4 linked regions of the Arabidopsis thaliana genome follow. The main gene of each other region encodes a partner of the protein of the gene in region 4 in a complex. Each region holds a gene or a part of one and is shown on either strand. Other genes may lie near its edges.

Region 1 (7,823 bases), on a different chromosome or scaffold from region 4:
ATGTGCATTGTCTGTTATCTTCTTCTGACAGACAAATTTTGGGAAAATCTGAAAGCGGCTGCTGAGAAGAAGGTAATTTTGTTCAGACGTTTCTAGTTATTGAATGAGATTTATAAGCTAATTTTCACCAATAGAGTTGTAGCTCATAATTTTAGTAGAAAATGTCTCCCCGTAGTCATTGCATCTGATGTGCAATTGTGAATAAGAGATTTGCCAGAGAATGGAGATCGAAATCTTGTTTGTTCTTACTTGTCAACTTAGAAACTTGTACACTGAAAGAATTGATTCTTGTTTCATCTCTGATTCTACTACATATACTGAAATGTTCTACATATATGAAGTTGTTCTTCTACTCCTTAATGAACATCACATTCTTGCAGGTTGGTGGGGTTGAAGCAGAGAGATTTTGCAAGGCTTTCGAGAAACTCCACAAGAAACTTGTATGTGTTGTACATTTTCTTCTTAAGACATTTATTGCAGATAGCTACTAATGCTCGGGACATTTTTTTTGTCATTTGTTTTGGTTTCAGGTGTATGAAGAATTGGATCCAGAAGCTGCAAAGCGATATTTACTAAACTCTTAAACTTCTGTCTTCTATATGATGTGCTTCCAAAAGTTTGTTAATGTGGAGACACTTCCAAGTCTTGTCTTTTTCTTTATCGTAATTATGAATTTATGAGTGCGCAAAAATTATCTTCTCGTGTTCGTCTAGTTATGATTTCAAGTCTTTCTCAAAGGCTCCATATTTCAATCGGAATTGTTATTGATTTTGGTATCTATAAATGTTTTTGGTATCTATAAATGTTAACTTCTTGTTTTTAGCTTTTTAATTTTATGTCGAAAAATCTCATTATTGGCCCTGCATTTTATCACCAATTTTCCGACAGTTCTCTCGTTACTGTTTCTTACATTTTCCCACACCTAGTAAATTGTATACTCATAGTAAAACTCAGTCAATGATTCGAGGTAAATAAGATTATACAGTAGAGTACCAAATTATTCGTCTGTTCCAGATGAAGTTAACATTAAGTATGTTTGCAATTTACTTTTGTTACAAATGTGGTTTGTTAGTGTAAGTGATTTAGTGTCAAATAGGTTTTCCCATCTCAATGATTCTCTTTTTACAGCTTTTGTTAGACTAATAAAATGCTATTCAAACCAATTTTATTCAATATCGTAAGCATGAAATAGCCTGTAATAATCTTACATCTTTCACATCCAACTCTGTAATAGACTAGCTTTATAGTTCTTTCAATTTAACAATGATGTTCATTCTTGTTTTTTTTTTTTTTCATTTGGCATTAACAATGATGTTCATTTATCATTATCAAGATATTCACACACACCACACGAATTCCACCAGCTTCATATTCAAAAACAAGGGTTCCAAAAGATAATTATGCGTGTTATCGATACACTATTAAATCAAGAAAACCGAGAAGCAGTAGTTACTATTTTCAAAGACTCGTTGTTCAACACTCTTCAATCTCATCCCACCACATAGAACACATAAGTTACAATCACGGCATATAACGTACGATATAGTGTATATCATCAGTGTAAGAAAAAAAGTAAATAAATATGTTTTTTGTGTTTGCACAAATGAGTTTTATTCAGACAAAAATTCACAAAAACTTGTAAAAGCAAAAATTTATCTATTGTGCAATGGATTAGGACCTGTGAAGACCCTTCTCTTGCCATCTTCAAAAACATCTTCACCACCACCTTCATAATTAGTATATTTTGATCCTCTTGATGACGCAGCATTGGAGTCAAGATCATGAAGCTTTGGATCCAAATTTCCAGATTTCTTCAAGCTTCCATGAGTTGAGTGATGATGTATATTAGGAGAAGACGATGAAGCTTTAGCGTAAAGAAACAGAAACAAAAGAAGAAGAAGGATGATCAAGGCAACTGTAGTGATGTGTTTCCTAGATTTTCTTCTAGAGTAGTAATTTCCCATCTCTTAGGAATCTTCAAGATATGAAGAGTTTCTCTATAAGGTATAGATTATATATTTAGAATCGATTTTTGCAAGTATAAAAGATCTGATCAAGATCTCTTAAATAAATTCTCTCTCAAAGTCTGTAAGAATGAGAAGAGAGGAATGAAAGTGATGGAAGAAAAAGCTATGGGGCTTTTAACCTATGACTTCCTCTAAAAGTTTGTTGCTCTCCCTTTCTTATTCTCCACCACTTTCTACAAATAAAGAGAAGAGAAACTAGATAGAGGTTTGTAAATATATATATCATTAATTTTTAACGAAAGTTTTTTTTGTGTGTTGAATCATTTCCAAAGGTCTTAGCTGGGATTACTAGGTCAAGTGGTAGTAATTAGTGTGGTTAATAATATACTTATAGTGGTTAGTTTTAGAGAGTAATGAGGGTGTGATAATAAAGCATATAGAGGAAGGTAATTATGTGAAGGGGGTCAAAAGTAGAAAGAAATAGAAAAGAGAGAAGAAGGGGCCAAAAAGGGAATTGGAGTGATGATTCTAAGACTTAGCTTTCTTTGGGGAAAATGATGTTGTCTTCACTCCCTTTTTCTTCACCCACATTTACACTCACTCACACACATGAAAAAATCCACTTACCACTTGAATCTTCTTCCTCTCCATTTTATATAAATGTTGTATATCTATATTTGCTTCTCGTTTTTTAGTCTTTCTAAGATTACTTTTTTTTTTTTAATTTTACTTTATTATGAGTTAAGAAAGAGAATAAAGAAAACAGTATCACAAGAACTAAATTACATACATGATACATATATGGATATGATTCTCCAATATGCATCTTCTACCTTCGATAAACGTATTTACAACTTGTGCAACAAATGTTTTTAAGAAATCAAGCTGAAAGTTTATAGAAGAAAAAACAAAGACTTACGTCCAATATTTGTCAAGAAACACCATATGTGATATGTACCTCAATATATCCTCATCAGTCATCACGTTTTTATATATTATATTCCCATTTATTTTACAGCAGACAAATCATCATTTACATAGTAGAGAGCAGGTATACAAACTCAAATCCCCAAAAATACCATTATTCCATTTTGTTCTCGTCAAGCACTTTGTCTCTGATGTTATATCAGCAAATATACACGTATGTATTCATCGTATGTTTCATCTTAAATTGTAGAAGATATTGTTAGGCATGTCTCGATCGGATTAGACCTGTCCGACCAACCCAAAACACTGAAAACTTACATTATTTATGTTTTGATAATTTTCGGTCTTATAATGGTTTTTTAGAATAACAATTCATGTTTTTCACTCAAGTAAATAAAAAATATAGAAAGAGATAACAATCTAAATCGGATATAAATAGTCGTGGATATTTTTGTTTGGATAAGAGTACCACCGGTTAAAGAGAGATTCATTACTCGGTTCGAATACGGTTTAGCTAATGGAAGATCCTTGATTTGTCTGGTTAAGTGGGCCGTGTTGAAGGAGCGCGTGAAGCCCACGCGGAGCCCTTGAATAATAATAAAAAAAGGCTGACTGTAATTTGTTGATTATATTGAGAGAGAAGCCAACGGAAGAAAACAGAGAATAATTCCTCTCTCATTGGTCATCAGACACAAAAGACTCTCAAACCCTAACTAGTCTCGCTTTTTCGCTCTCTCGAACCTTCTTCGATCTCTGTCCTTTCTCGATCACTTGCTAAAATCAAAATTTTAGGCGGGAATTCGATACCCAAGCCCAAGACCCAAACACTTCCCCCCTCACGTTTCGCTGCTTTCGTTAGCTAGCTTTCTCAAACGAGATCTGGGCTTGTCGAAAGAAACGTGTATGTTGATTGTTTCGATTCTTTCTCCTACCAATTGAATCTGAGATTTTGGTTTTGCTATTGGGCTCTGTCTTGTTTCGTTTTCGAATTCCAAATTCCTCAATTTCGAATTTCTCTTCTGCTTGAAGCTTTTTTATCGAGTCTAATCTTCGTTTCTAGTGATTACTTCGCTTGTCTGATTTTTTTTTTGTTAGCTTCATTCCTAAATAGAACAAATTGATGAAACTTTCTTGTTGACTAGATCCAAAATGTATGGACTTGGTATCTAATTTTACTTTTACAAACTTCCGAAAACTTTCTAGGGTTTTGTTTCTGATGCTAGTTTCATTTTTTTTGAGCTTGGAGCAGAAAAGTTGAGAATTGATAGCATCTAATGCTAAATTAGATTTTCTTACTTCTTAGTTTTGGTCACTATGAAATATGAGCTGGTGCTTAGTTATAACTTTTGTATTGTTTGTGCTACAGAATTGTTAGTTTAGATAGTATCGAAGCTGAATTTGCTTTCTGTAGTAGTATTATTTCCTTATCACTCTATGCTTTTTCTGATTTTTGTTTCCTTGTGTAGGATATATATGCAGTGAGCCAGTGATCATGCAAAAGAAATTCAGAGTGCGATAGAGAAGATGGAGCCTGAACGTTTAAAATTTGGAGGTACATTGGTTTCGAATTTGGAGCTTCTTCAGTTCGTGAAGTTATTTTTTTTGTAGCTCGTTGTCCTTTGTTTTCCCCTTTGGCTCACCTTGAGGTCAATGTGTTGTTTGTTTCAAGTGCAGGTCCAAGAGAGTTGTGCGGTGCTGCGGATCTTATATCTCAATTCAAACTAGTGCAACACCATGAATTCTTTTGCAAGAAATCTCTTCCTGTTTCTTTATCAGATTCCCATTATCTTCATAATGTGGTTGGGGACACAGAGATCAGAAAAGGAGAAGGAATGCAATTAGATCAGCTTATTGAGAGCATATCACAGAGCCGGGAGACTAATATTCGCATCCAGCCTTTTGATATAGATGAGCTTCAGGAGTCTTTCCAACTAAATGATATGACTCCTGTTGAATTACCCCCAGTAAGAATCTGATCTTTCTCACTCTCTCTTGGTGTTTTGAGTTTTAAATGTCCTTCTTTTCATAAGAGTAACAGTATTTGCCATTACATTGAACTTAAAAACTGGCTCAGTAATGAATGTCCTATTTCCTGTAACATCAAGTTCTTTGGTTAATTGAGAATCTTTCCCTAGTAATGTGAATTACATCTGGGTGTCCTATGGAGATGATTGACCTTGGTACTATTCTTCTTTCAGGCAGAGAAGGGAGCTCCTACAATTCCGTCTAAGTCAAAAAGTGAGTCGAAAGATAGGGACAGGAAACATAAGAAACACAAGGACAGGGATAAAGACAAAGATAGAGAGCATAAGAAGCACAAGCACAAACATAAAGATAGAAGCAAAGATAAAGATAAAGACAAGGACCGAGACAGAAAGAAGGACAAAAATGGCCACCATGATTCGGGTGATCATTCTAAGAAACATCATGATAAGGTAAAGAACATGTCTGTTTGTTGAAGGTGTCTGTCTTTCCAAAGAAGAATAGCTTAATGGAAAGTTTTGTATTTGTTGCTCTTGAGTTAGGCTGCTTTTTTGACCTGCTTGGCATGAAATTAGCAGATCTAGAGACTGCTCTAGAACATTTTATTGAGTTTTTATGGAGCCTTTTCACTTATATTTCAGAAAAGGAAACACGATGGAGATGAAGATCTTAATGACGTTCAGAGGCACAAAAAAAACAAGGTAATGGTAATGAAGTGGGGCCTCAAATTTTTCTCGTTCTTCATTAACACTCAACATGAAATTTCCACCATAATGTTTTTTTTGCACAAAGGTGCTAGAGAACTAGTAATATGTCTTTGATAAATTGTATTGATTCAGCTCTTGATTGAACCTGTTGCAGCATAAAAGCTCAAAGCTTGATGAGGTGGGTGCAATAAGGGTTGCTGGCTAAAAAAGTTGTAGACATTCCAATTTTGTATTCTGCACTCGAGTAGGTGTCATGGAGACTTTAGAAGCACTTTTCAACTCACTGTAGACAGCTTATTAGGTAAGCATCTGTGTACTGTCCTGTCTCTTTTGTACAATTTTTTCGGTGTTCTTGGTATTCCGGGATCCTTCATAGAACATATACATCTGTTATAGTCCAGATACTATACTTTAGGGGAACTGAACCCATAATATTTTTAGGCAGATACTTGAGTTTTGTGTTGTATTCTTTAAGTTACTGAAATCCAAATAACGCAACATTTGCAAGGGAACATTGTATGTGTCTCTGTGCGACTTCTGTATTGGTATTGGATTCTTTTCTGGTCTTAAGAAAGTTGCCGTGATACATAACTAATGAAAATCGGGTAACCTGTCGAAAGAACATATCAAAGATAGGATGTGTTTCTAAATAGAACAGTCTCAGCTAACACAAATCATTGCTTACATTTTTGTTACTTTCTTATATTTTCAAGTTGTGTTGAACAAAATGATTGGCTTTGTAGGTTAAAAGCCCAAACTGGTGAATTCATTCCTTGAAGAAGAAAGGGGAAATTTGTGAAATGAAGAAGAAGAATTTAGTATCATAATTGATTTGGTGTCAGATTTGTAACATTTTTCTTGGGGTGTTCTATTCCATCTCTTTTCTGTCTATATACTCAATACAACACAAATCGTTACTATTCATGTATAATAATTTACTTACCAATTGATGTTGTTGAAAAAGTAACTGTCAAATCCACTTATTTACTTTTACTTGAGTGTCACAATGTCTATCTGTCTGCGACTATGCCTGTAAAAATTGATCAAATATCTGAACTATTTTCTCAAAAATATGTCGGATTATATGATTACATCTGTCGAAATCTCAAACACAAATTGTAACACTAGAAGCCATCCCCGAGAGTTCTCCATCATTTACTCTTTTCCATTCACCATCTATCATAAGGCAGCTTCTACTTTCCTCTTCATCATTCCACATCAGATTCTCTTCTGCTACAGTTTCAGTTTCCTCATATGCATGTTCTATTTCCATCTCAGCTTCTTCCTCGTATGATTCCAATGTCACATCATTTGATTCAGAATCTCCTGCACTCTTCCTTGCTCGCTTGCATGGCGATTTCTCCAATTGATTTCTATTACACTCAGCTCCTCTCTTCGCATTGTTGTTACCTTGTGCTTGTTTTGAGATGCTCTTAGCATTCTGATTGTCAAGAAGAGGTAAACGTCCAGAAGATCCAATGATCCGAGGCAACATACCAATTGGACAAGGGCTCCATGTTTTTGCCTTTCTCCATCTGTTACCGGTTTTGTCTGTGTCAATACCTTTCTTCTTTGAGAGTTGAAGTTTGACGAACTCAAGTCTCTTGCCTGCATTACCGAGATTCTTCTCTTGCTCAAGGAGCGTTGTACTAGCTGTTACAAGAGTAGAACTCTGTTTCAATGGAACAATTGCAGAGCTTTTATGCATAAGAGGAAGTTTTATGAGCTTCTCCTTTAAGACACGGCCTCCCACAATCTCTGCGAGTAGAAATGCTGATTTCAAAACCAGCTCATATCCTAAGGCTCCCAAGACAAGACATCTACGTATAAGTTCCATAAGGAAAATGCTTGGAGGTTTCACTTCTAGAGAACTGTTTCTCTGAAAATGCTTTGATCCATTGAGAAGACTCACAAGCCATGCAAACAAGAAAGGGACCTGCTCAACTTGAGAAACCTCTTCCACTGGCTTTTCTGTAAGATGCAAATTTAGATACAATTCATACATGTTAGAAACGATCTGAAAACAATTTAAAGTTTCAACTGAGGATCCTTAAGAGAAAAAGCATTTAGGATAAACCAATAGTTACCGGTTTCATGTCTTCTCCGTTCATTATTTTGGATCATATCAAGGACTTCCTTGAGTAGAGTCAAAAGTAACTCAGGTTCTCTATTTGAGAGTTCCATTATTACAGGTTTCCATTCATCTAGAAAGACCCTGAAATCTTGCCCAGCCTTATTC
Region 2 (8,419 bases), on a different chromosome or scaffold from region 4:
AACAAAAAACTAAAAACTCTTCTGTTGATAGGAACATTTTGGGCAGCAGCAACAGGCAATGCAAATAGAAAACGCAAACTTTGTTAAGGATTGGTCAACATGCTCGGTAATTTACTCGAATGACTCTTCTTTAGTTCTCATTTGTAACAAAACAAATTGTAAACCCGGCTGTACAACTTTCAGATGCAAGATGGGATTCAGATTCCTTTAGAACAACAGCTTCAATCTATGTCATGGATTCTTAATAGCAACACCACCAACATTGTCACCGAGGAACACAATTCAATCCCGCAGAGGTTAGTGAAAACTCTCACCGAGAGAACTTTTCTTTCTTTTAATATTGAATCATATCTTAAAACCAAATCTTTGTCTATCCTCAAAAGGGAAGTCGAGTGCTCAGCGAGTTCTTCATTCGGGAGCTATCCAGGCTACTTTGGAACAGGGAAATCTCCTGAAATGACAATTCCGGGTCAAGAAACAAGCTTTCTTGATGAACTAAACACCGGACAGCTGAAACAGGACACAAGCTCGCAGCAGCAGTTCACTAATAATAATAATATCACAGCATACAATCCCAATCTTCACAATGATATGAATCATCACCAAACGTTGCCTCCTCCTCCTCTTCCTCTTACTCTTCCGCATGCTCAGGTGTATATTCCAATGAATCAGAGAGAGTATCATATGAATGGATTCTTTGAAGCACCACCACCTGATTCTTCTGCTTACAACGACAACACCAACCAAACCAGGTTTGGTTCTAGCAGCAGCTCCTTGCCTTGCTCAATCTCAATGTTCGACGAATACTTGTTTTCCCAGGTAACCAAAACAAAACTTTCTCAGAGATTCTAAATGGGTTTTTGTTTTGTAGACTGATTTGACAATTTGTTCTTCTTTCTTATAGATGCAGCAGCCGAACTGAGAGAGATTTGATGAATGATGATAAAACATCTCACTGAAGAAACTCAAACCAATATTTTTTTTCAGAAACAGCAAGAAAGCTAAAACTCTGCCGATTTCTGAATTGGTTCCAAGAAGAAAAAAACCAGTGGTAATCCCTGGTAGATTGTGCAACCAAACCACACACAATACGTGTTCATTTATTTTTTCTATATCTTCAATAGATGTCACTTAATTCTTTTCTATACATAATTTCTCAGTCAGATGAGATTTTTTGAGGTTTTCCATATTTCTCCGGCGATAAAAGTTAGTAGTGTCTTTGGAGGGCTGTCAAAGTAACGCCATGACAGCCAAAAGATGAGAAACTCTCTCTTCCTTCCCTTCCCACAAACTCTAGCCTCTGTATCTATTCTTTTTCATTCTTTCAATGTAAAACAAACAAACAAAACAATGTTTACTACATTTTTGTTTTTGTTTTTGTCTTCAAAGTACTCTTGTTTATTAAGTGATTTATACAAAAGTTTACAAGTTATGTAGGATGAACTAAGGAAGCTTATGTTTATGGGTTAGAGAGACTACATTGGATGATTCTTCTAGGATTTTGAATCACCAAGAACCATCAACAAAGCCAACAGTATCTTTCACACAAGTTACTAATATCTTCTTAAATAGTTTTACTTTGTAAGAACCATTTCCTTGAGTGGGTTTACAATGGGACGGACTAACTTGCGTACAAAGACCGTTTTTTATTCACTATTCATAATTTTGGTCCGCAGTTTAGTAAATAGGAAAAAATATAAAAACTCTAGGGGAATTGGAAAACTAACCAAAAAAAAATATAATTAAGAAACTAGCATAAAAAAAAAAGCAATGATATCCTCTATATTTTATATATTAATTCCAAGTTTACCCCCTCTATCTCTTTCCGTCTACCTCTCTCTTCCCTTCTCTCTCCCCTCTATCTTTTTCTCTCTCTCTCTTTCTCTCTCTTTCTTTTTTTCTCCCCCTCTCTCTTTCTCCTCCCAATAAAGTTCCTACACCTACCTCGTTACTTGTTTTTTATTTCAAATTAGAGTCTCTTAATTACTTTAGGGTGATATTTGATTTGGGGGTTTCGAATTACAGAGCGAGGAACACAAGTTAGGTTCAGGGAATTGACTTTCGTTGTTGCACTTGATGATGAAATAGGGTTCCGTTGTTGCGCTTGGTGTATTGGTGATGAAATTGAGTTCCGTTGTTGCATTTTGAGAGATACTATTCTATTTTGTAAATAGTATACTATTTACGTATACCTTGTTCTATATACGTTTTAAAATGAATTGTTTGTTTTGATTAAAGATGTTAAGTGATTTCATTAATGTTTTAGATTTAAACCCTTGGGTTCCCTATATATTATCCCTTTAGGGTTTAGTATACTTCCATCAAAAAATATTGTCAATTTATATAGAACGTTATGTTATTCATTGACAACACTATTCACATCTAAATTATTTTGTGTCTATTTTCAAAAATTTAAGTCATGATATTTGTAGAAAACTATACAACTTTTTAATAGATATATCATGAACTTGAATTAAATTTTTTAAGATCAGATAATATGAGTTACAATTGAAAAGGAGTAAAGAAAAAAGAAAGAGAAAAGAGAATTTCTCTCCTACCACCTATTTCTCTTCTCACCTCAACACCAATAATAAAGTCACGTCAGCTCACACTAATCATTCTCCTTCTTCGCTGACGAAGCGTAACACCAGGACAGTGATGTCTTTTTACTCTCCTTGAAGGTTATTTACTACATTTACAAATTTATGGTGTTAGTTGGTTAATTATTTAGTAAAAAAGTGTTATATCTACAAATCACGCAAAACTCTATTACGGACCAACAAATAGTTTATTTGAAAGCAAAAAAACAAAACTTGGTCCGTAACGGATTATTGTCCGTCTTAGAAATATAATGGTCTACTCCGCAAACAGATTTGTCCGTCTTAGCGACATATTGGTCTAGTCTGCAAACGGATTTATCCGCTCTGTCTATTTGTTGCAACCTTGTAAGTTTTCAAAGAGGAAACACATATATATGTTATGGATTCGGTATGTTATTATATTTCCCGGTTCTATTTCTCAAACACACTCTCTCGTCTTCTCCAATAACTAACTTCTCCAAATCAAAGCCTTCTTCGAGATTTTGCGCATTCCTCGTTTTCTAATTCGTAAGTTTCTCTTTTGTGTGTGTTTCTAATCGAAACTTTTGTGTCAATTTCAAATCGGAAACCTAATTAATTTGTTCAATTCGCTGTGATGTTAAAAACCCCTAATTACGTTAAATTTGGAATTAGGGTTTGTGTATTAGCTCTGTGTTATCAATGGAGACACAGCCGCAGCAACCACCTCCTCCTCCGGTAGCTGAGAAGCTGAATCCAAAACTGGAGAAGGAACTGAATCTGGAGTCGTTGAAGACACGAGCCGTTAGCTTGGCCAAAGCCATTGCTCGAATCCTTGAAGATTTCGACGCTTATGGTCGAACCAACACTACTCCTAAATGGTTCATCATCATCGAATCCAGAATTTGATAATATTTTGATGTTTATGAATTTTTTGTAACAAGGATTGATTTTCTTTTTGTTTTGAACAGGCAGGATATTCTAGGGCAGTATTCGATGGTAAATCTCGAGCTTTTTAACATTGTGGAAGAAGTAAAGAGAGTTTCAAATGCGTTTGTTGTGCTTCCTAAGAACGTCAATGCTATGAACGCTGCAAGTATGGTCTTTTTTTAGTTGTTTTAGTTGATGAGTTAAATGAATTGTGAATGTGATGAACTGGTTTAGCTTAGCATTTATCAGTGAATCTGCAGTTTTACCGGTTATGTTGTCTTCGAAATTACTACCGGAGATGGAAACTGATGACAATGCCAAGAGAGAGCAGTTGCTTCAAGGTGTTCAGAGTTTGCCTATACCAATGCAAATCGAAAGGCTTAAGGTTAGTTTTGTAATGTATTTTTGTTGTGATTTGTTTGCTGGTTTTTGAAATGGTATCTGTTATTACAGGCGAGGATGGATATGATTGCAGCAGCTTGTGAAAATGCAGAAAGAGTATTAGCTGATACTCGTAAAGCTTACGGATTTGGCACTCGTCAAGGCCCGTCTATGCTTCCTACTATGGATAAAGGTCAAGCTGCAAAGATTCAGGAGCAGGAGAAAATGCTACGAGATGCTGTAAATGACGGTAAAGGTAAGAGGGTTTTAGAATTTATTGAGTCATTTGATAGTGTACGAAACTGCAGTTTTCTGTTTTGCTGAATTCCTTCTCATGTTCTTTTACAATGGTTGTTTCTAGGAACACAACTGCCTCCAGACCAGAGACAGATAACCACTGCACTTCCACCACATCTGGCAGATGTGCTAATTATCAATGATGCAGGTAACGATTTCATTGATCTGTCTGGTAGAAGTAAACCCAATGCTTGAATCTTCTTTATTTTGTTACTACTACCAATGGTATTCTCACGTTGTTAATGGCTCCAAAAATTCTCTTTCATTAGGTAAGATTGCATTACCTGGGCAATCAAACAACATTAACAATCAAGGAATGATGCAGGTTAAACTAGTTTATTCTCTCTAGTTGTGATGATTATTACTTTTGTTAGTATCATTGTCTTTCGAGGTTCATGTCTTTGTGTGTTTTTAGGTTTCCGGGACTCAATTTGTGGGAAGATCAGCTGCATCTCCATCTGGTCCTAATTTTGATAACACAACATCTCCCTTACCATATTCCAATTCTCCTCGCGCTACGGGTATGGTTAATGTGCCTTCGCCTCAGCATCAAATCCAGCAACAACAGTTTCAACAGCAGCAGCAAAGGTCAAAATTAATGCAGTTGCCTCAACATCAGCAGCAGCAACTACTTGCACAACAACAACAACAGCTCAGGCAATCTTCTATGCAGGGATTGGGTCAAGTAGGCTTTGACATTTTGCAGACGTAGCAATTGACTGTTTTTTCCTACCATACTGCTTTATTGAGCAACATGCTAATTCTTTGTGTAGAGTCAGATACCAGCACTTCATGATATGCATGGGCAAGCTCAGCAAAAGTTTCAGACGGTAAGATAAATAGAACTACAACATAGTTAGGGGATAGATGTGTGAAGTGAAAAGGATCAGACACTACCTTGGTCAATTATTTGTATCATTATGCAGTAGTTATGGCCATAAATGAAGATGACTAGACGTATTTATACAAGTTTACATATACCAAGTGAATGATTCATACTCTTGAAAAGTTATCCTAGATCTTGGGACTTGGCAGAAGCTTTTATATAAAAGTAACTGTGACAGTTCGTAGTTTCAAACAGTAGAATCAAATGAAATTATGAAACAAGCTTTTGTCTTTTAAGTGTGAGTTTTATCTTATTTTTCAGTCACATGGGCAACATCAAATGCCATATTCCCAGCCAATGGGCGCGCACCAACAATTCCAAGCTAGACAGCTCTCAGGTGGACATATTCAGCATAGCATGTCTCAAGGACAGCTCAATCCAGCGATGAACCGTCACTTAAACCAGTTTTCAGGTGGAGCCAATAGTGCATTGTTTACTTCTGCACAAGGCTCCCCAAGTAGCCAAATGGTCAGTCACCTCTCTTTAACCTCTTGAATTGATGATTCGAAACAATTACTAATCATATTTTCTACGTACTTTTTCTTTTAATTCTAGATACCAAACATGTCATCTATGCAATCTCAGACACTTGTTCCTAGGATGCAGGTTAGCTCAAAAACTCCTCTACTCATTATGTTTCCCAAATCTGAACGATGAACATTGTCTTAATCTGATGATCTCTTTGGATTTTTATGGTTGTCAGCAATTTGGAGTTTCGGGTACCAATCCCCAAAGAAGCCATTCGTCTCAAATGTTGGGTGACCAGAGTAAGTAAACAAATCTCTTCTAAAACATGTTTTCTTACATCAAAATCGATTCCCTGACTATTTCATTTGTCCTATCTTTACAGTGTTTAACACCAGCGGAATGATGCAAACACAGCAAACACAAATTCAGCAATCGCAACAGCAGCAGCAGCAGCAACAACAAGGAGGCTATGGAAATATGCAGACGAATCAGCAGAGTCTACAGCCTAATAACATGATGCAGAATGCTCAACAAAGGCACCAAAATCCTCAATAACCCCTTTTAAATAATTTGGGCTTGTAATGGGCCGATGCCTGTATTTTGTAGTACCAAAGGCCTGGCCCATTCTTTAACATTAATACACTCACCAGATTTCTCTAGTTGTATGGTACTTTCACACTACACTAGTACACTTTGTTTACTTGTATCATTGTATGAGGTTAAAAACGTGAAGCAGAGATTGGACGGTGGAGGATTGTTTTCGTTCTGACATGTTTATTGAGAATTCGACACGTGGCATCGACGTGAACATCTCGACGCCGTTGATGGGGTTATAGAGACAAAACGAAGACGCGTTTCTGTTGTACACGGGACTCGAGAGAGCGACGTGTCTATGAAGTTTACCTGTTTTCTGAACTTTAAACAGAGAGCTTTAAAACTGCGACTCGAAAGCTATTAAATTTTCTGACAATTTGTTTTGTTTCTTGTCAACTTAATTTTATATACTCATTTTTTATGTACTTATTTAGCTCAACGACTCGTTTAGTTACCTCAATCAAATTTTGAAATTTAGTTACCATTTCTTTTAAATTTTTTGTTTGCTTTTGTTACAAATATGAAAAACTAGTTTACTTTGGTTTTTAGGAATTTGCGAAAAAATCACTCAAAATCGCTTATTTTTACAATTTATTGTGCACATTCAAAAAATGCAAAATAAATTTATAAAATTTAAAATAATACACAATATAATTTATTTGTGCGATTTTGCATATGTTATAAACGTTTTCACTATAACATATATTTGTATTCAAAAGTTTTAAAGATATAATTGAACTCATCATCTCAAAGGCTTTGATTTGATATATTATTTTCTTTAATATAAATATTCAATGCATAATTTTCTTTAAATTAATTTTATATAAAATAAATATTTTACTATATATTATATGAAATAAATGCTTTATTATAGGGAAAAAACCCAAAACAAACCTCAACTTGTTATGAATAAAGATGGATGCTCATTATAACGCCCATCATCTAAACTCATCATCTAGATGTTTCTAAGGTTTTACCCTTTCCTTGTAATCCTATATAAAGAACCCTTTACCTCAATGGAATAACACACTCATTTTCTTCTATCTCTTTCTCTGTTTATAACACGTTATCAGGACGCTCTAAAAGGTAGATATAGAGATTCTTACATTTTTTTAAGAACCATGTTTACTTATCGACTCATGGTTCATAGTATTTATTTTCTATTATTGAAACAAAACAATATGAGCCGATCGATGATTATAGTATAGATCGGTAAAAGCATGTTTTCAATGATTCAATAAAGAAGAGAATCATGCTTATCATTTGTTTCTATAATTACTATCGCATGATTCAATGATTCTACAAAGAAAATCGTTAAAGAAGATAATCATGCTTATTAATTGTTAATTTTTGTGATTTATTATTACAATAATGAATATATAAATTACCAATTTTATAATTATATAACTAATTTTGTAACTATTCATAACCCGGTGGTAGGTGATGCAAACATGTATTAATGTTTTAGCATTCCAGTTTTGAATAGTTGCATCTATATTCAATATCATTTTATAAATATTATATTGTCTAAAATCCATTTATGATTGATATGATATCCCTTATTTAACTCCTTTGATTAAAACGTTATACATATCTTATCACTTTTAGATATTGACTTTTCCATATTAAATATTTGATTTCCATATATTTGATTGTGTTATTATTATTTTTACTAAAAATGTTGCAAGATAATTTTTCTTTTTATAAGATTCCATATATCTAAATCTTTGTGTTATTATTATCTAAAAATTTTTATAAGATTTCCATATATTTGATTGTGTTATTATTATTTTTACTAAAAACGTTGCAAGATAATTTTTTTTTTTATAAGATTCTTTTCTCTAAATCTTTGTGGTATCTAAAAAAAAAAAAAAAAAAAAAACAAAAAAAATTGTTCATGGTTTTGCCCTAATTTTGCACGAAATCATTTTACCCAAATCTTGCACGAATTCATATTAGCCTAAATAAAAGTTTTGTCAAGATATATGTAAAATCCAGATTTTGCACAAAATAGTTTTATTCTGATTGGTTTTACAATATTGCATTAAAATTGTATTAGTATATCATACTTGATTATTTTATGAAATAAATTGATTGATAAATAACTTAATTTAAAGGTATAATCACTTATAGAAATTTTCATGAATGACTAGTTTAATGTATCTTAAGAAGATATCATATTTTTGATGGTCAAAATTTTTTCAAGAACTTAAATTATCACCAAAAGTTGAGAAAATAAATATGGTAAAAAAAAATAAGAAATTTTGAAAGAACTATTATAAACTTAAATCGAGTGTTTTTCAAA
Region 3 (8,134 bases), on a different chromosome or scaffold from region 4:
CTTTCTTTTTGTTTTTTTGTTTTTTTCTGAACAAAACTTTCTTGTTCTATATTTCTTGTGAAGAACTATGTTGATTTTTAATAAACTAGGAATTGATCCCCCTAAGAACCGATTGGAAAAACCTTTATGTATTTATTTATCAAAGTATTTGAGATCAATAAAATACAATTATATGCATTGATATTTTATAATTATATTATTTGTTAATGTATTTTATTTATCTCAAAAAGCTTATATAAAACCATTTTCTGAATTTCAATTCTAATTCGTAATCGTATATAAATAATGATTCTTATCCCATGTAATGATACTTTAATTTACGTTATAAATGATTACTTCAACCTAACGAAACACAATGGTGAATTATTTTTAATCAAAACCTAAGACTATCCAACAATGAACTCAATTCTTTCAAATTTCATTTATTTATGAGAAAGGTTTAAATTGCGCATAATTCTGATAATGTTTCCAGACTTTGTCCAATCGTAAATCAAATAAGACTCAACAATACTCAAATTAAACAAGTTGAGTTATTCGATTATATAGTATAATCAATTTTCAAAACCATGAAAATTTGATGAACGTTCTAAATGATGGATTTTTTTTTGTTTAGAACCGATACTCAACTATTTTCCCTTATTTCATTTGTCAACTCTTATTTCTTTATCTCACCGTTGATTGCGACGCAAGGAATTTTGTAACGATTAGCTGTCTATCTATCTAAAACTCCACATAAATTATAAAATGGTAACCTAAATACTTTGTGTCGGCAGCAGAACTGATGCTATTGTTGTTTTTTTGTCCATGTCAACTTCTCTCCAAAAACATGTCGATTCTCTGCATGGAAAAAAGATGCCTTCTTCTTTAGGGTCAATTAATGAAATAGTCACAATCTCTCGGATCTATATATTAGCATTTTTTCACATGCTTCACTACTTTTCAAGTCTTCCCAATTCCAACGACTGGGAACCAAATATCATTAATTAAATTAAGTGCATATTTTTCTATTTTTATTGAGTCATTAATCCTGCTAGAATGTTTCACATCAAAAATGAAGTGTAATCTAACAAAGTATGTAATGGATATAGGTCAATTTATTCATTGCATATTGATTATAAATGAGATTTTTTATATTCTTAAAATAGTATGAATTAGACATTTTGTAGTGATATTTCCAACAACAAAAAAAGATCTCATAATTTTGTTAAAAAAAAAAAAACTAAAGACATTTCGCTGCATCAATAGTAAGATTTAAGTTCTAGAGCTTTTGGAATTGCAGTTTTTTGTTTAGTTTAAAGTTTTGAGATTATGAGTTAATGTTTTAAATTTTGAAACTTACTAAATGTTAAATGTCATTTCAGTTTTTGTACACAGACAACAATATTTTTTGTATTTTCACATGCTCAACTTTTTTTTTCTCTCACATGCTAAAGTTTACAAAAATAACCAACACATCCATACGAATTTACCATCACGCCAAAAATCATTACGTTTGTTTTTGTCCAAAAGTGTTTGGGTGTACTTATTTAATCAAACTAAAAAGTGCATTTTCCTTTTCACGAAATAAAATCGTGACCATAAAACTAGATTTATCTCTATCCAACTGTTTTTCTTTCAATAGAAATGGAGTGAAAGATTAATAGAAGTTGTAGAAGTCCACGTGGTTCATGTGGTGAAATGCGTGAACGCGTAACGCCGAGATAATAACAACATTGAATAAAAAATACCAACACGCACAAAGACCACACTGCAACAACATTCCTATCCATCCACGTTATCTCCCACCCCCCACTACCTTCTCCTCTTTTCTTATCCACCCACCTTCCTTAAGCCTTTCCAATGCCATCTTATTTTATATACATAAGTAATAAGAAATGACAACATTCGGTCACAATCACATTCATTCATAACAATTGGATATCATTATATAAATATTTATTTATTTGGAAAAAAGTGTCATCATCTCTATATTGTGTCCCAAATCATTTCACATTACTATACAAAGTTAGGTGAAGAGCCGGTCAATTTCGAATGAGCTTTTCTACCCTCTCTTTTACTATTTTTATATGATATATATGTAAAAGGGACCTCTCTCCTTGTCCCAAAACCGAACATAACCCGACTAAACCGGGACTGTACCGAAAGTCTCAAGAATGTAGTAAAGAACACATAAAAGAAACAATAATTGGTATCCCTATCTTGCTGCAATTGGTGAATCCAAGACAGAACAAAACAGAGGAGTAAACAGTTTGTTCAAAGTAAAGTTATGTTGGATTCTGTTCCTTCTCCTCTGCTTGTTTCTGTCTCCAGCTTTGTGGAACTAGACTCTGTTTACCTTTATTGCACCAGAGATTGCGAGATATGTGTGGTAAGTATGGAGTAATATCTTTTGCCGAGAATTATTCACCATTTGAACAAAGCAGAAACTATTTTCTCCCATTAGCCCAATTCCTGTTGCTCATTCCAGGTCTCTTGAGTTGCGGTTTCTGAGCACTACCTTGCTTTGGGATCATCTCAAGTACTTGTATCGTTCGCTGCTTCTTGGCTGTGGCAAGATCACAAACATTTTTAAGTTCTTTTGTTTTCAAGAATGTAACAAAAAACTCGAAACAAAAGAAAGGAAATGAAACGAACCATTCTCGTGATGCTGGTAGCTTTCTTGAAGTTTCCTCTTTGCAAACTCAAACTTTGCGTCTGCATCAAGACCTTTAAGTTTCTGCAAGGGACAAGAGCAAAAACACCATCAATTCTACGTCCAAGAATAGGATATTAGACAAGAGCTTTGTCTCCACACTCACTTCTTGTTGAGGTCCAGGAGCTTTCCGCTTCTGTTCTGTAACAACCGGTTTCCTTTGGATCATGGGTTTTTCAGACTTGTGAACAGATACCGTTTCGTTCTTCATCCTTTGCTCTGTACTTTGCTTTACAGGTCTTCTAGTCCCATCAAAATCAGTAGCTGATGATGGCTTAATAGATCTAAAAGGAGCATCTTGTATCCTCATTTGTGTTCCCTCAGGTTTTCTCTTGGCGATATTTTGTGGCCTTCTTTCATGCTCTCGGCTTGTGTTGTGTTCTTCAGAGTTACGAGGATCTGAAACAAACATCCCCAAGAAAATCAATCAACACGTAGCTAAGAACATGTTCTCAAACAAACAAGACATAGTTTTAAAACTCACTTCCATCAAAGTCCAAGGAATCAAAGAAGTGTGAGATTTCAAATCCGTTTGGTTCAGGTGTAAAGATATCAACATCATATGGAAGCGATGGAAACGCCTCTTCTTCATCAAGGACAGACGGGTTTGCAGACTCTGGTGTACCTTCAGCACCTGTTTTAAACACAAAATTAGAACCAAAGACTATGGATCTAATTCAAGAAACCAAACGGTAAGACACGAAGCCAGTCATAAAAGATCGAAAAGCGAGACAGAGAAAGCGCAATTACCAGTGATTTCCTTTGTGGTATTCACCCATTGATCCACCAACTCCTTCCATTCTCTGCATAAACATATCAAAAACTCAAATGTGAGATTCAAAAGTGCAAAAGCATAGCAAATGTCAATCAAACTTGTGAAAGATCAAAAACTCATACGCGATAAGAGTCTTAGCGAGTTGTCGAATCTTATCAGAAGAATGTTTCCTGAGGCCATTAACAGCCTTTCCAATCTCAGTACTCTGCGAGAATAACCGCAAACCTTAAGAATCTCAAGGATCATCAACAACAACTTCATACACTATCCACCAAGATAACCAACCTTAAGAATATCCACATTCAAAGACATCAACTTAAGATGTCTTAAAGAATCGAGTAACACCGAGTTTGGCTGCAAGAGAATACAAAAAAGAACCAATCAGAAAACACAAAAAAAAAATCTTCACATTGATGAAATTTCAAGAACTTGAGAATCAAACCTCATCTTCTTTGTTGAGCAAGATCTCTTTGATCCTAGCAACCTCCTTAGAAACCACAGAAAACTCTTCAATCTCATCACTCAAAGCCTCAGCTTCATCAAATGTATAATTGCTAACAATCTGATTATTATCCCCTCTGCTACTATTAGCTTTGCTCTCTTTACTACCACCAGCAACCTCATAATCTTCATCAACCGCCGTACCACCACCACCATTTCCGGTGGTTCCACGGTTAGCCTCGTCGTCTCCGGGAACAGACAATTCAAGATGGTCGCATCCGACGCAACGATTCACTCTACAGGAGAATAAAAGCTCGGCGATTTTGTCTCTTCTGGATTTGAATTTGTTAGGACAATCAGTAGCAGCCACCATGATCGCATGATCGATGATCCCGAATATATCGGAATCTCCTCGCCGTCGGAAATATTCTCTCCAGCTATCTAATGAACCCGATGCTTTCATCGTTTCTCGATTCAACAAAATCGGAGTCTAATTAACTCAAGAATTTGATTTTTTCCCCAGAAAATTTGAAGAAGAAGCAAAATAGATTTCCAGAAGAAGAAGATTGGGATCGTTGAAGATTGAAGAATTCGAAAAGAGAAGATCAGAAAATATCGAATCTACGACAGAAGATTTACTTACCAAAAAAAGATCAATCAAACTTAAAGGTTGAGACTTTGAAGATTGTTTTGTTCTCAATCAAAATATGATCAAAAACGAAAAGGATTTGTGATCAAAAGAATCTATAGAGAGAGAGATAAACACAAAATCTGTTTGGTAAGTTTTTATTAATTTATTTTTTTTGGTACCTTTCCGAATCTGACAAGAAAACTTTCCCGGAAAGCCCAGAAAGGATTTTCCCGAGAAAAAAATGCACCGCAGCAAAGATGAGAAAGAAGGAGGAAACCCAAAAAAGCAAAAGAGAGAATACAGACAGAACATGAAACAGTTTTGGTTACGTTGTCTATCTAAAACCCAAGTGCTACTACGTTAAACACAGCTACAAATTCAATTCAACAAGAAACCTTTTTATTAATTCAGAAAGAGAAATAATGAAATTTATTTATTTCCTCTGATTGAAGTCTCTCTGTATATCTGTTTGGTAAAAGAGATTTTATTTTTATTTTAAGTTGGATTTTCTTTACGGCTTTCTTTTGACCTGATCGGTCTGTTTTGGCTTTTCATTATTATTATAAAAACACATTATTCTTTTTTTCCTCACACATGCGTTGTACTTGAACGACGACACAAGTTAAGTGATTACAAGGTCAAACTCTTTTTTTTTTTTTTGGGTCATAAATCTTTTTTACGTTGGAAAATGTCAAAAGTAAATTCTACTAAGAGTGTTTAGTTAGTTATACGGACTTTAATGAGAAGCTCTGAAGAAGAGATATTTATTTCCTAATGCTGCTGATCAAAAGCGTTTATCTTCTAGTCAAAGAGTGATATATTAGAATATTTGGTAAATCCGATTCAAAACAATAGTTTCATGTTTTAACAGTTAACACTATCATTTCATTTTATTTTGTTTTATAAGAAATTGGATTAGGTACTTTAATTTGTTCAGATTTGTAAGACAGAGAAACAAGTATTTCTTTGTTTACAATGTTTTAAAAATATCTAACAAAAAAGTTGTTTTATTTTTTTTGTATCCCTTTGTACTTTGGATTAGGTACAAAATGACTCACAATGTTTTAACCTCGTTACCCTCACAGCTTTTTCATTAATTCATCGACTATTTTTTCATAACCCATACTTGTTAAGGCCATTAGGGCATCTCCATCCATGAAAAACCCACAAAGTTTTTCAAACAAAAAAAATATTAATATTATATTATAATTTGATTATTTGATTAAAAAAATATTTTTGTTAAAAAATTAAACCAATAGTAAGATGATAATTGTCATGATGGGTTGTAGAGACTATCTCAGAGTTTCTCAAGTGAGAAACTTTCTACACTCTCTCTCCTTCATTTTCATTATTTTTATTTTTTTAATTGTGAGAAACTCTTATGAGATACTCCCAATAGAGATGGTCTTAGATATGTAGTTTATTTACAATTTATCAATTGTAAATAAAAGTTACAACTCTTCACTTATACTCATAATGTTCCGGTACAATCCAACCAAACCTTAACTTAGATCATATTTATTTTAGAGAATTTACCAAAAAAAGACATAGCATGATAGCATCATGTCATCAATCATCATACATTGTCTTATTTTTGTTGTTGTTGAAAAAAAAAAAAATCAACTGTTTTTCTTTGTATTTGCATTTTCGTTTATGTTTACATGTTCCAAAATGATACCACAATCATAACTGTTTTAATTCAAAGTAAGAACTTTGTTTTGTGTTTACAAAGTTATAAAATAAGTTGGACTATTAAACTTAGCTTGATTTGTTAGAGCAACAACAGAAAATAGAAGAAGAAAAGGAAGTTTCTGTTTGTGGAATGAGAAGCATGTATTAAATGTTGGTCAACAAAATCGACCCCTAAAAATATTATAATTTGATTTTATGTTAATACGTGACAAAACGAAGTCGTACGATTTGGGACGGTGGTGATTACCAATCAGAATTTACTCACCTTCAAACGCGTGAAAAACACTGGGACTCCTTTGAGTGCTAACCTCACGGGCTTGTCACAGCCACGTTTACGTGACAGACTTTGATTGGCCGACACGTCAGCAGATATAGTGGCTGCTTTACGGTGTTTTAGTGGACCTACTTGAAGAAAATGGTGCGTGTTTTGTATACAAGAGATAAGAAATCCATCTACCACGGACGGTCTCATTACAATTTTTTTATTATCTGAATAACCAATTATAGATATAACACCTAATGTATTTTGCTAGAAGTCGACAAAAAAAAATTAGACTGGAGTTGGAAAGAAAAATTAGAATTTTTTAGGCTCAAATTATTCAATATGCATATATTTATTTGAATCATTGTGTCATACTTGTTCTAGAACTTTAAGCTTATGAATGATGATTAAAGTTTATCTTCAACGAGTAGGCATTATTATTAGCTTCTTCTGCTACTCTAATGATTCTAAGAAAGCGTCGAGAAAGTTAATACAGAAGCAAAGAAAACTATTCGAACTGCGGAAGATAAAGAAAATAGGTGGATAGAAAAATTAACGGTTACTAGTAAGATTAAAAGAAAGGTCAATTACAGAAGATAAATAGGCAAGATTGAGATGATTATGATGAAAAAAAAAGAACCCTGCATATTTGAATTTGCTGTAGCAAAATTGTCTAAAGCTTTGTATTCTTGTAGTGTTTGAAATTTACTCTAATAAATATTTTTCATAGGTTTATGGGGAATTTAGCTAAATGATTATGAAATTTATAAGGAATAAGTCATTTTTCTTGTATTTTCGTTGAGATCTAAAGTGTTTGGAGACTTGTACGAGGTTATTCGAGATTATTTATCAAACAAATTAAGAGATAAAAGTATAAGGACGAGGAATTCAGAAATAAGAGTCAAATAAAAGTTATTTGATAGAAGAAGATGAGACTATATAAAAAAAGTAATTTATTAGTAATTCATACAAAAAATGGTAGGCATACATTTTATAATAAGTAATTACGTATCTCCAATTCAAGATACTCAAACACCGTTTGAGAGTATGGATAACGAGCAAAATGGAGATAACCATCAACCTCGTCTATACCAACCCCTATCAAACAAAAATTATGTAATAATCTTTTCTTTGATTAATATCATTCTTAATATTGTTAAAGATTTCGGATATTCGACTATGTGTACTTGGTTTTTTTCTTTTTGTTGTTGTTAAAAACTATGTGCACTTTGTTCCAAGATATGACCAAGCAAACTCAAATCTCTGTTGTCCACAACAACAACAACATATTATATGTGAGAAATTCGAATCAAATTTTTTGTTTTACCTGTTGAATCAATGCCACCAATATAAGAAAATATAATCCAAAATGCCATACCGGATTCAACATTATGAAACTGTTCTGTGTTCTGACCGATATAATTACTCTACTTTTATGACCTTTATTGATATTGCCACAGCTAGCGCAAAGCTGAGATGAGAAATATTTTAATCAAAATGTCGTGACTAAAGCAGAAAATTTAGAAGCAAATTTTAATTAGCGACGATTTCGTAAATTGCATGGCATAATTTAGTTTGGATTTATACGGTTTTCTTGTGTGTTGTATCGTTGACTATTATTACATTCATAATTTATTTATA
Region 4 (7,338 bases):
AACTCCAGCGTCAGCATAGCCAGATCAAAATTTTCAGGAGGAACAAATCTGCAAGAACAAGACAATATTCAGAAACCAAAAACGTATTCATGCCAGAAAATTAATATAAAAACAAGCTGTATAATCACCTGCTAACAGATACCATATCACCAGTCGAAACTCTAGCGTGTCGCCTTTGAATAGCATTGAGAGCAATATTTCCATCACGGATGCTTCCATGTCCAGTAATCACCAGTTAAGTTCACAAAAATCGAAATAAATGACACAATGAACAAGTTCAACATTGTCACCGACCAAAGGAGCCTAGATTTCTATAATCCATGAAAACCAGAAAAACCTAACTTGTACTACGATCATAGATCAATCAATCATTATAAGAACCATTCATAAGGCCGAGATTCAAATTCGAAGATCGATTTTGGTAAATTTAGCAGTAATTAGCCATATCACATAAACAATCAACTCCTAGGATCGCATTTCGCATTGCAATGTAAGAAATGAATCGTAAAATGGAAATAAGAAAGGATATCAGAGAGAAAGAATGAAGCTATCGGCAACGTTGGCGAGGAAGAGATCGGAACCGGGAACGGAGAATTGACGGAGATCGGAAGAAGAGCAGTAAGCGAGGTTAGTAAAAGCTAGATCTGCGGACGGAGTATTGGTCACAGTCATCGTCATGACTTGCGATCCGTAACGACCCGCCATGGCTGGGGTTTCGATCTCAGGTTTCTTCGAGTCTTTTTGATTTTTGTAACCTTAACGAATAAGAAAATATTTGAGGGAGAAGCAATAAACAGAAGACTACGATTGCTTCCTTGATTTTAATAAGATCTTTTATTTTTCGAGTCCTGATCAATGTTTTGGAAACCAGACCAAACATTCCGGTTCGACCAATAGCCGTCTGAATTAAACCAAAAAGCGGTAAATTAAATCTGGTCATACCCTCTCGGCTCGGTATTAGAATCCGGTTTGCAACACAAATCATAATTCATTTTTTTTGTTGTTCTTTTCTTATTTTTTTTTTTTTTTTTCAGTCTAAATTTTAGAATACTTGCTCACTGATTATTTTGAGCAAGTCATGCATGAGACACATCCTCACAATTCAATTTGAGTTCGGATTAACCACATTTATTTATTTTTCAACAAATAGTTCAAAACTTCAATCGATGATCAATTATGTGAAACTAGAAGGTCAACACATAAAAGCTCAAAAGATCTTGGACTGTCACAGAGCAATGATAGATGATGGATGCTAATGAATGGAATAAACACAATGAGAAGGAAGATGAGGCAAAACAACCTTCACATAGGGAGATTTTTAAATTGAACAACTAGCTCAAGTAAACTTATAAGTAATGTTGTAAACATGGAATGAATAAGTTTGAAATTTGGTGCATTCTTAGATATGAGAAGGTGGTTAAAAGGGTATGGTGCAAAGACATATCCATCCCTAGTATTTAATAGATTGAAAGAAGGAATTTTTTTTTGGTTCTAGTTTAATGAGTGAAAATGAAAAAATAAATAAAAAGGCAAATGAAGATGAAGATGAACTCAAACTTTTGACTCTCTAATGTAATCTTATAAGCAAATAACCAACTTTTCTACTGAAAGTTATAAGAAAATGAGGCAAAAGTTTTATTTATATTAGGGAATTTAATGAAAAAAACCCTCAACTTTGGCCAGATCCATTTTTAAACCCTAAACTATGTTTTTAGTAAAACAAACCCTGAACTAAAACCTGTTAATAAACTTAACCCCACAGTAATTAAACAACGTTTAGGGTTAAGTTTATTAACAGGTTTTAGTTCAGGGTTTGTTTTACTAAAAACATAGTTTAGGGTTTAAAAATGGATCTGGCCAAAGTTGAGGTTTTTTTTCATTAAATTCCCTTTATATTAATTGAAGCCGCAAGCATGAGCTTGACCCGTTTGTGCTCATGGATGGCTCTGCTTGTATCTAGTTAGAAGCCGAAACAACTAGTTTTCAGTACGCTATGCATGTAACTCAAAGAATTTGGTGTAAGCAATAAGTGATTCTCATTCTTGGTCGTGCTACATTGAGGGAGATACAACAACCATGGGAAACACTTATGCCTAAGCCTAACTTTTGATTTGGGAGGAGGCAAATGAACTAATGCCTAAGCCTAATATTTTGCACAACTCTACTCGCGTGGCACCTCTTATCATCTTCAAATTGGTGGATCGTGAGCTTCGCAACCTAATCACTTCTCGACGACATCGCAAGCGTTGGCAGCGGCTAATGCTTTTATGGATTCGTTAAACACACCTAAATCTTTTCTAATTCTATTGTAGCCTTGTTTTTATTTTTTTTGCCTTGGTTACTTTTCTATAGGTTGTACGTTCTTGTATTTTCTGAACTCTCATTGTAATGATATTAACAAATTTAGCAAAAAAAAAAAAAAACTAATGTCAAACAAGGATCCTCAAATGCCAAATGTCAAATTAAGTTAGTACCTTTCCATGTTTACAAATTTGAATTTGAAGATGGTAAATTAGAAGAAAAAATGAAATTATGATCATTTTCCTTAATCAAAAGATTCAAAACTATCATTTAAAATTTACTTCTTCATTTTTTGCTCTTAAAAGAAAAAGTAAAAAATTACAAAAAGAGGGGAAAAAAATTTAGAGAGAAAGTGACCAGACACGACGGCGTTTTTGCATCACTTTCACCGAGATTTTTTTTCTGCATCCCGGCGACGAGACTGTGACTCCACCAAACCCTAAAATCAAAATTGCATTTTTTGTTCGATTTTGATTTTGTGGGGATTTTGGAATTTTCCCCGCACTAAGTCGTCTCGTTAACCCCACTTAACAGTTTCTCACTTTGACACTTTCTCTCTCTCTCAACGCACAGTGCTTTCTGTCGCCTTCAATCGCGACTTTTTGTCACACTTGCCCTCTTTTCTCCGATTTTTCTATAAATTTAGGGTTTTGTTTGCTTTCGTTGACATGAATCAGCAAAACCCAGAAGAAGAAGTTTCTTTGGTTAATAATAGCGGTGGTGGAGGAATCATCGAAGCTCCAGCTATAGTGGAGGAGAAAGAGGAAGAAGGATTACAGCAGAAGCAGGAAGAGACTATTGAGTCTACCGATCCGATTCTCGTCGTCGTTGAGGAGAAATTGTTAGAGAAATCAGTAGACGGAGAGAAAGAAGACGATAATAGTAGTAGTAGTAACATGGAGATTGATCCTGTGAGTCCGGCTACAGTTTTCTGTGTTAAGCTTAAGCAGCCCAATTCCAATTTGCTTCATAAGATGAGTGTTCCTGAATTGTGCCGTAACTTCAGGTTTGACTCTCTCTCCCATCGGAAAATCTTTAAATTTCATCAATTCCTGTAAAGTTTTCTCCTTTTCTTTGTGTTAGTGCTGTTGCGTGGTGTGGCAAATTGAATGCTATTGCTTGTGCTTCCGAGACCTGTGCCAGGATTCCAAGGTATGGTTTTTGTTACTTTTCTATGTCTTGAATGTATGGGCAGTGATGAATTTCTCAATTTTCATCTTTCTCTGTTCTCATCTCTTGCAGCTCCAAGGCAAATACACCTTTTTGGATACCAATACATATCTTGATACCTGAGCGCCCTACTGAGTGTGCGGTGTTTAATGTTGTGGCAGGTATTTTGATATCAGTTAATTATTTATGAACTCGGTTGATCTAGTGGGTGATAAACGATTATGATGCAATTTTTTATATGTAGACTCTCCTCGTGATTCTGTCCAATTTATCGAATGGTCTCCCACTTCTTGTCCTCGTGCGTTACTCATTGCTAATTTTCATGGACGTATAACTATCTGGACGCAGCCTACTCAGGTTTGTGCTCCTGATCACTGGGATTTACCTTTATATTTCTTCTTTGTCTTCTGTGTCAAGATGTTTTATGACACCCTCAGATGATTTTTTTTTTGTGGATTGGTTTTGCAGGGTTCGGCTAATTTAGTGCACGACGCTACCTCCTGGCAGTGTGAGCATGAATGGCGTCAGGACATTGCTGTTGTTACAAAGTGGCTGACAGGGGCTTCCCCAGTATGTAATCTTATGTTTTGCTTATTTGCCATTCTATCAAATGCACAGCATATTTGTCCCTTAATGAGTTCGTTAAATTAGTAATGGAGGGCTTGCATGTGAGAGTGGGCACTGGGATTACTAAATCGTGAGTAATTGAACTGGAAATGTCTCTACGTTTTGGAGGAAATGAGATGGAGAAAACACAACGTCCTGGAAATCCCAACTCTCTGTTTGCAAAATTACTAGACTCCTAAAAGATCTTCCAATTTGCGTTTCTTAGATGCATTTCTTTAATGATCGGCATGAACACATAAGGAAATGAGTAACAGATAGATAATAATGCCATTGCAAAGAACATGTTCTGAAGGACTTAATATCATGTTGTTTCTGGCCACCTAGTTTGCTGCTCTAGTTTTATCCTAGGAAATTTATCCTCTATGTTTTCTTTTTATTGATAATCAGTATAGGTGGTTGTCCTCCAAGCCAAGTTCTGGTACAAATGCAAAGTCAACTTTCGAGGAGAAATTTCTCTCGCAGAGCTCTGAAAGCTCAGGTTTTCTTCTGCGTGCCTCTTGTGACTCATTTTTTGATGATATATTCAGAATTATGCACTTAATTTTAATTATGTCAGTTCCTTTGACATCCAAATATATGTGACAAGATCAATACAACATGTTCTGACGTTAGTGCATTTTCCTCCACTTTATGTGACGGTTCTGATTCTCTACCATTTGTTGCAGCTCGGTGGCCCAACTTTCTCTGTGTATGCTCTGTTTTCTCATCCGGCTCTGTTCAAATTCATTGGTCCCAGTGGCCTTCTAACCAGGGAAGCACTGCACCAAAGTGGTTTAGTACAAAGAAAGGTCTTTTAGGTGCAGGGCCAAGTGGAATTATGGCTGCTGATGCTATTATAACAGACAGTGGTGCCATGCATGTAGCAGGAGTTCCAATTGTAAACCCTTCAACAATTGTAGTATGGGAGGTGACCCCTGGCCCTGGAAATGGACTCCAGGCGACTCCAAAAATCTCTACAGGCAGTCGTGTGCCACCATCCCTTAGTTCTTCTTCTTGGACAGGTTTTGCTCCTTTAGCTGCGTACTTGTTTAGCTGGCAAGAATACTTAATATCCGAGATAAAGCAAGGGAAGAAGCCCTCAGATCAAGATTCCAGTGATGCTATATCGCTAAGTTGCTCACCGGTTTCCAATTTTTCTGCTTATGTAAGTCCAGAGGCTGCAGCTCAGTCTGCAGCAACCACAACATGGGGATCTGGTGTTACCGCTGTTGCTTTTGATCCAACTCGTGGTGGTTCAGTGATAGCAGTTGTTATAGTTGAAGGTACTGTTCTCATCCTTCTCGGAACCTCATACTGTTTCCATGATTGAATAAACATTTTCAGGTTTACGTTTAGTTTTTGGTCAATCATTTAGAAATGCTCATATATTGAAGAGCTGCCAGATGAGAAAATGCTAATTTTGTTTGAGTGATGAAGCGCAACAGCTTCAATCTATTGTTTAAAATAAATGCTAATTGTTTGTGTCTGCAGGGCAGTACATGTCTCCGTATGATCCAGATGAAGGTCCTTCAATCACAGGCTGGAGAGTACAGCGCTGGGAATCAAGTGTTCAACCTGTTGTACTGCATCAGATATTTGGAAACCCAACTTCAAATTTTGGAGGACAGGTCCCCACGCAAACTGTCTGGGTATCCAGAGTGGATATGAGCATACCACCTACTAAAGATTTTAAGAATCATCAAGTAGCTGCAGCAGGACCAAGTGTGGATGCACCAAAGGAGCCTGATTCTGGTGATGAGAAGGCTAACAAGGTTGTATTTGATCCTTTTGATTTGCCAAGTGATATTCGGACACTTGCACGGATTGTCTATTCTGCTCATGGTGGTGAAATTGCGATTGCTTTTCTTCGTGGTGGAGTTCATATCTTTTCTGGTCCAACTTTTTCACCTGTTGAAAACTATCAAATAAATGTTGGATCTGCAATTGCTGCACCCGCATTTTCACCAACAAGCTGTTGTTCGGCTTCTGTATGGCATGATGCTGCTAAGGACTGCGCAATGTTGAAAATCATCCGTGTTCTTCCTCCTGCTCTTCCGCGTAACCAATCAAAGGTTGATCAATCAACATGGGAGCGGGCGATCGCTGAGAGGTATGTAATCTCTGGTATATATTTTCTAGCTTGTCTGCTTGCAAAGGAACTTATATTGTGACTTGAGATATGAATCTGCATTCTTTCTTAACAGATTCTGGTGGAGTCTTTTGGTCGGAGTTGATTGGTGGGATGCAGTTGGCTGCACACAGAGTGCTGCAGAGGATGGGATAGGTATACTTTAGTGCTAAGTTTCTTGATTTAAGTGTTATTTAATATCTGCAGTTGGATTTTTTTGGGTCTTTAGTTGTGGAACAACCACTGGAATTAGTTTTGCTTAGAAATATGACAGTTTGTATTTTAGTTTGGGAATAAGTTCTAGTTTTTAAAGGCTGAGTGTCATTCAAAGAACCTTTTCTCTGTTTTTCTATTTTGCTTTTATACTAAGGTTTGAATGATAGAAACTTTGAATGATAGTGGTTCAAATATTATATTGTATTGTTTGAATAATATACTGCTTAAAGCATTGGATGATGTATTTCTTTTTATGATTACAGTTTCATTGAACAGCGTGATTGCTGTCATGGATGCTGATTTTCACTCCCTTCCTTCAACACAGCACAGACAACAATATGGCCCTGTATGTTTTTACTCAACCCGAATCCAACTCATTATCTTTTTCCTTTTTAAATGTCTGAACTGTTTGCGTTGCGGTACCGTTTATTATGTCTTTGCAAAATATTTATATATATATATATATTTTTTTTTCTGGTTTTATAATGTAAAGCTTCTCTATTCCATGAGCATGCAGAACCTATTTTGTGTTGTTCTTTTATCGGACTATAAGATAGTGTAGCTTTCTCTAATTTAAAAAAAGAAAGAAAAAAGGAACAAACTTCATCTGACTTTAGATTATTTGAGTAGCCAATATACAATGCATCTGATTGACTGATTCTAAGACGCTGAACAAAATCTTGGCAGTCTATTGCCCCCTTGAGATTCTTCGTGTTTTTTTTGCTTTTTTCCTTTTTGGTTGGTTGCGCTTTTTGGTAAAGAACTTGTATTTTTATGGTTTACAGAACCTAGATAGGATCAAATGTCGGTTACTTGAAGGAACCAATGCTCAAGAGGTTCGTGCCATGGTTTTAGATATGCAAGCAAGGTTGTTGTTGGACATGCTTGGAAAAGGTATTGAATCAGCTCTTGTGAAT

The links.
Region 1: SFR6 (region 4) and MED19A share a complex: the UniProt entries of both Arabidopsis thaliana proteins name them as parts of the mediator complex.
Region 2: SFR6 (region 4) and MED8 share a complex: the UniProt entries of both Arabidopsis thaliana proteins name them as parts of the mediator complex.
Region 3: SFR6 (region 4) and AT5G05140 share a complex: the UniProt entries of both Arabidopsis thaliana proteins name them as parts of the mediator complex.

Annotation. Positions count from the first base shown.
Region 1 is NC_003076.8:3,951,881-3,959,703, reverse strand, and holds MED19A (mediator of RNA polymerase II transcription subunit 19a-like protein), read left to right. Parts: upstream 1-3,518; 5' UTR 3,519-3,795; intron 3,796-4,360; 5' UTR 4,361-4,418; coding exon 4,419-4,446; intron 4,447-4,568; coding exon 4,569-4,858; intron 4,859-5,092; coding exon 5,093-5,329; intron 5,330-5,518; coding exon 5,519-5,578; intron 5,579-5,738; coding exon 5,739-5,789; 3' UTR 5,790-5,885; intron 5,886-6,327; 3' UTR 6,328-6,564; downstream 6,565-7,823. Other genes in the region: AT5G12240 (octanoyltransferase), read left to right, coding at 32-72, 381-440, 531-584; AT5G12236 (uncharacterized protein), read right to left, coding at 1,422-1,556; CLE22 (CLAVATA3/ESR-RELATED 22), read right to left, coding at 1,653-1,964; AT5G12220 (las1-like family protein), read right to left, coding at 6,690-7,555, 7,672-7,823. UniProt on the Arabidopsis thaliana protein: Component of the Mediator complex, a coactivator involved in the regulated transcription of nearly all RNA polymerase II-dependent genes.
Region 2 is NC_003071.7:902,718-911,136, forward strand, and holds MED8 (mediator subunit 8), read left to right. Parts: upstream 1-2,795; 5' UTR 2,796-3,107; intron 3,108-3,233; 5' UTR 3,234-3,260; coding exon 3,261-3,439; intron 3,440-3,529; coding exon 3,530-3,654; intron 3,655-3,748; coding exon 3,749-3,873; intron 3,874-3,941; coding exon 3,942-4,125; intron 4,126-4,230; coding exon 4,231-4,314; intron 4,315-4,435; coding exon 4,436-4,491; intron 4,492-4,581; coding exon 4,582-4,851; intron 4,852-4,939; coding exon 4,940-4,996; intron 4,997-5,313; coding exon 5,314-5,520; intron 5,521-5,607; coding exon 5,608-5,658; intron 5,659-5,755; coding exon 5,756-5,819; intron 5,820-5,902; coding exon 5,903-6,075; 3' UTR 6,076-6,555; downstream 6,556-8,419. Other genes in the region: AGL30 (AGAMOUS-like 30), read left to right, coding at 32-106, 184-296, 384-852. UniProt on the Arabidopsis thaliana protein: Component of the Mediator complex, a coactivator involved in the regulated transcription of nearly all RNA polymerase II-dependent genes.
Region 3 is NC_003076.8:1,516,590-1,524,723, reverse strand, and holds AT5G05140 (Transcription elongation factor (TFIIS) family protein), read right to left. Parts: upstream 5,020-8,134; 5' UTR 4,372-5,019; coding exon 3,910-4,371; intron 3,822-3,909; coding exon 3,753-3,821; intron 3,673-3,752; coding exon 3,590-3,672; intron 3,496-3,589; coding exon 3,443-3,495; intron 3,327-3,442; coding exon 3,177-3,326; intron 3,092-3,176; coding exon 2,799-3,091; intron 2,717-2,798; coding exon 2,635-2,716; intron 2,546-2,634; coding exon 2,427-2,545; 3' UTR 1,587-2,426; downstream 1-1,586. UniProt on the Arabidopsis thaliana protein: Component of the Mediator complex, a coactivator involved in the regulated transcription of nearly all RNA polymerase II-dependent genes.
Region 4 is NC_003075.7:2,494,962-2,502,299, forward strand, and holds the start of SFR6 (sensitive to freezing 6), read left to right. Parts: upstream 1-2,969; coding exon 2,970-3,307; intron 3,308-3,384; coding exon 3,385-3,453; intron 3,454-3,543; coding exon 3,544-3,632; intron 3,633-3,715; coding exon 3,716-3,828; intron 3,829-3,939; coding exon 3,940-4,041; intron 4,042-4,485; coding exon 4,486-4,576; intron 4,577-4,763; coding exon 4,764-5,360; intron 5,361-5,568; coding exon 5,569-6,187; intron 6,188-6,281; coding exon 6,282-6,361; intron 6,362-6,684; coding exon 6,685-6,767; intron 6,768-7,206; coding exon 7,207-7,338. Other genes in the region: NSF (AAA-type ATPase family protein), read right to left, coding at 1-48, 129-224, 530-705. UniProt on the Arabidopsis thaliana protein: Component of the Mediator complex, a coactivator involved in the regulated transcription of nearly all RNA polymerase II-dependent genes.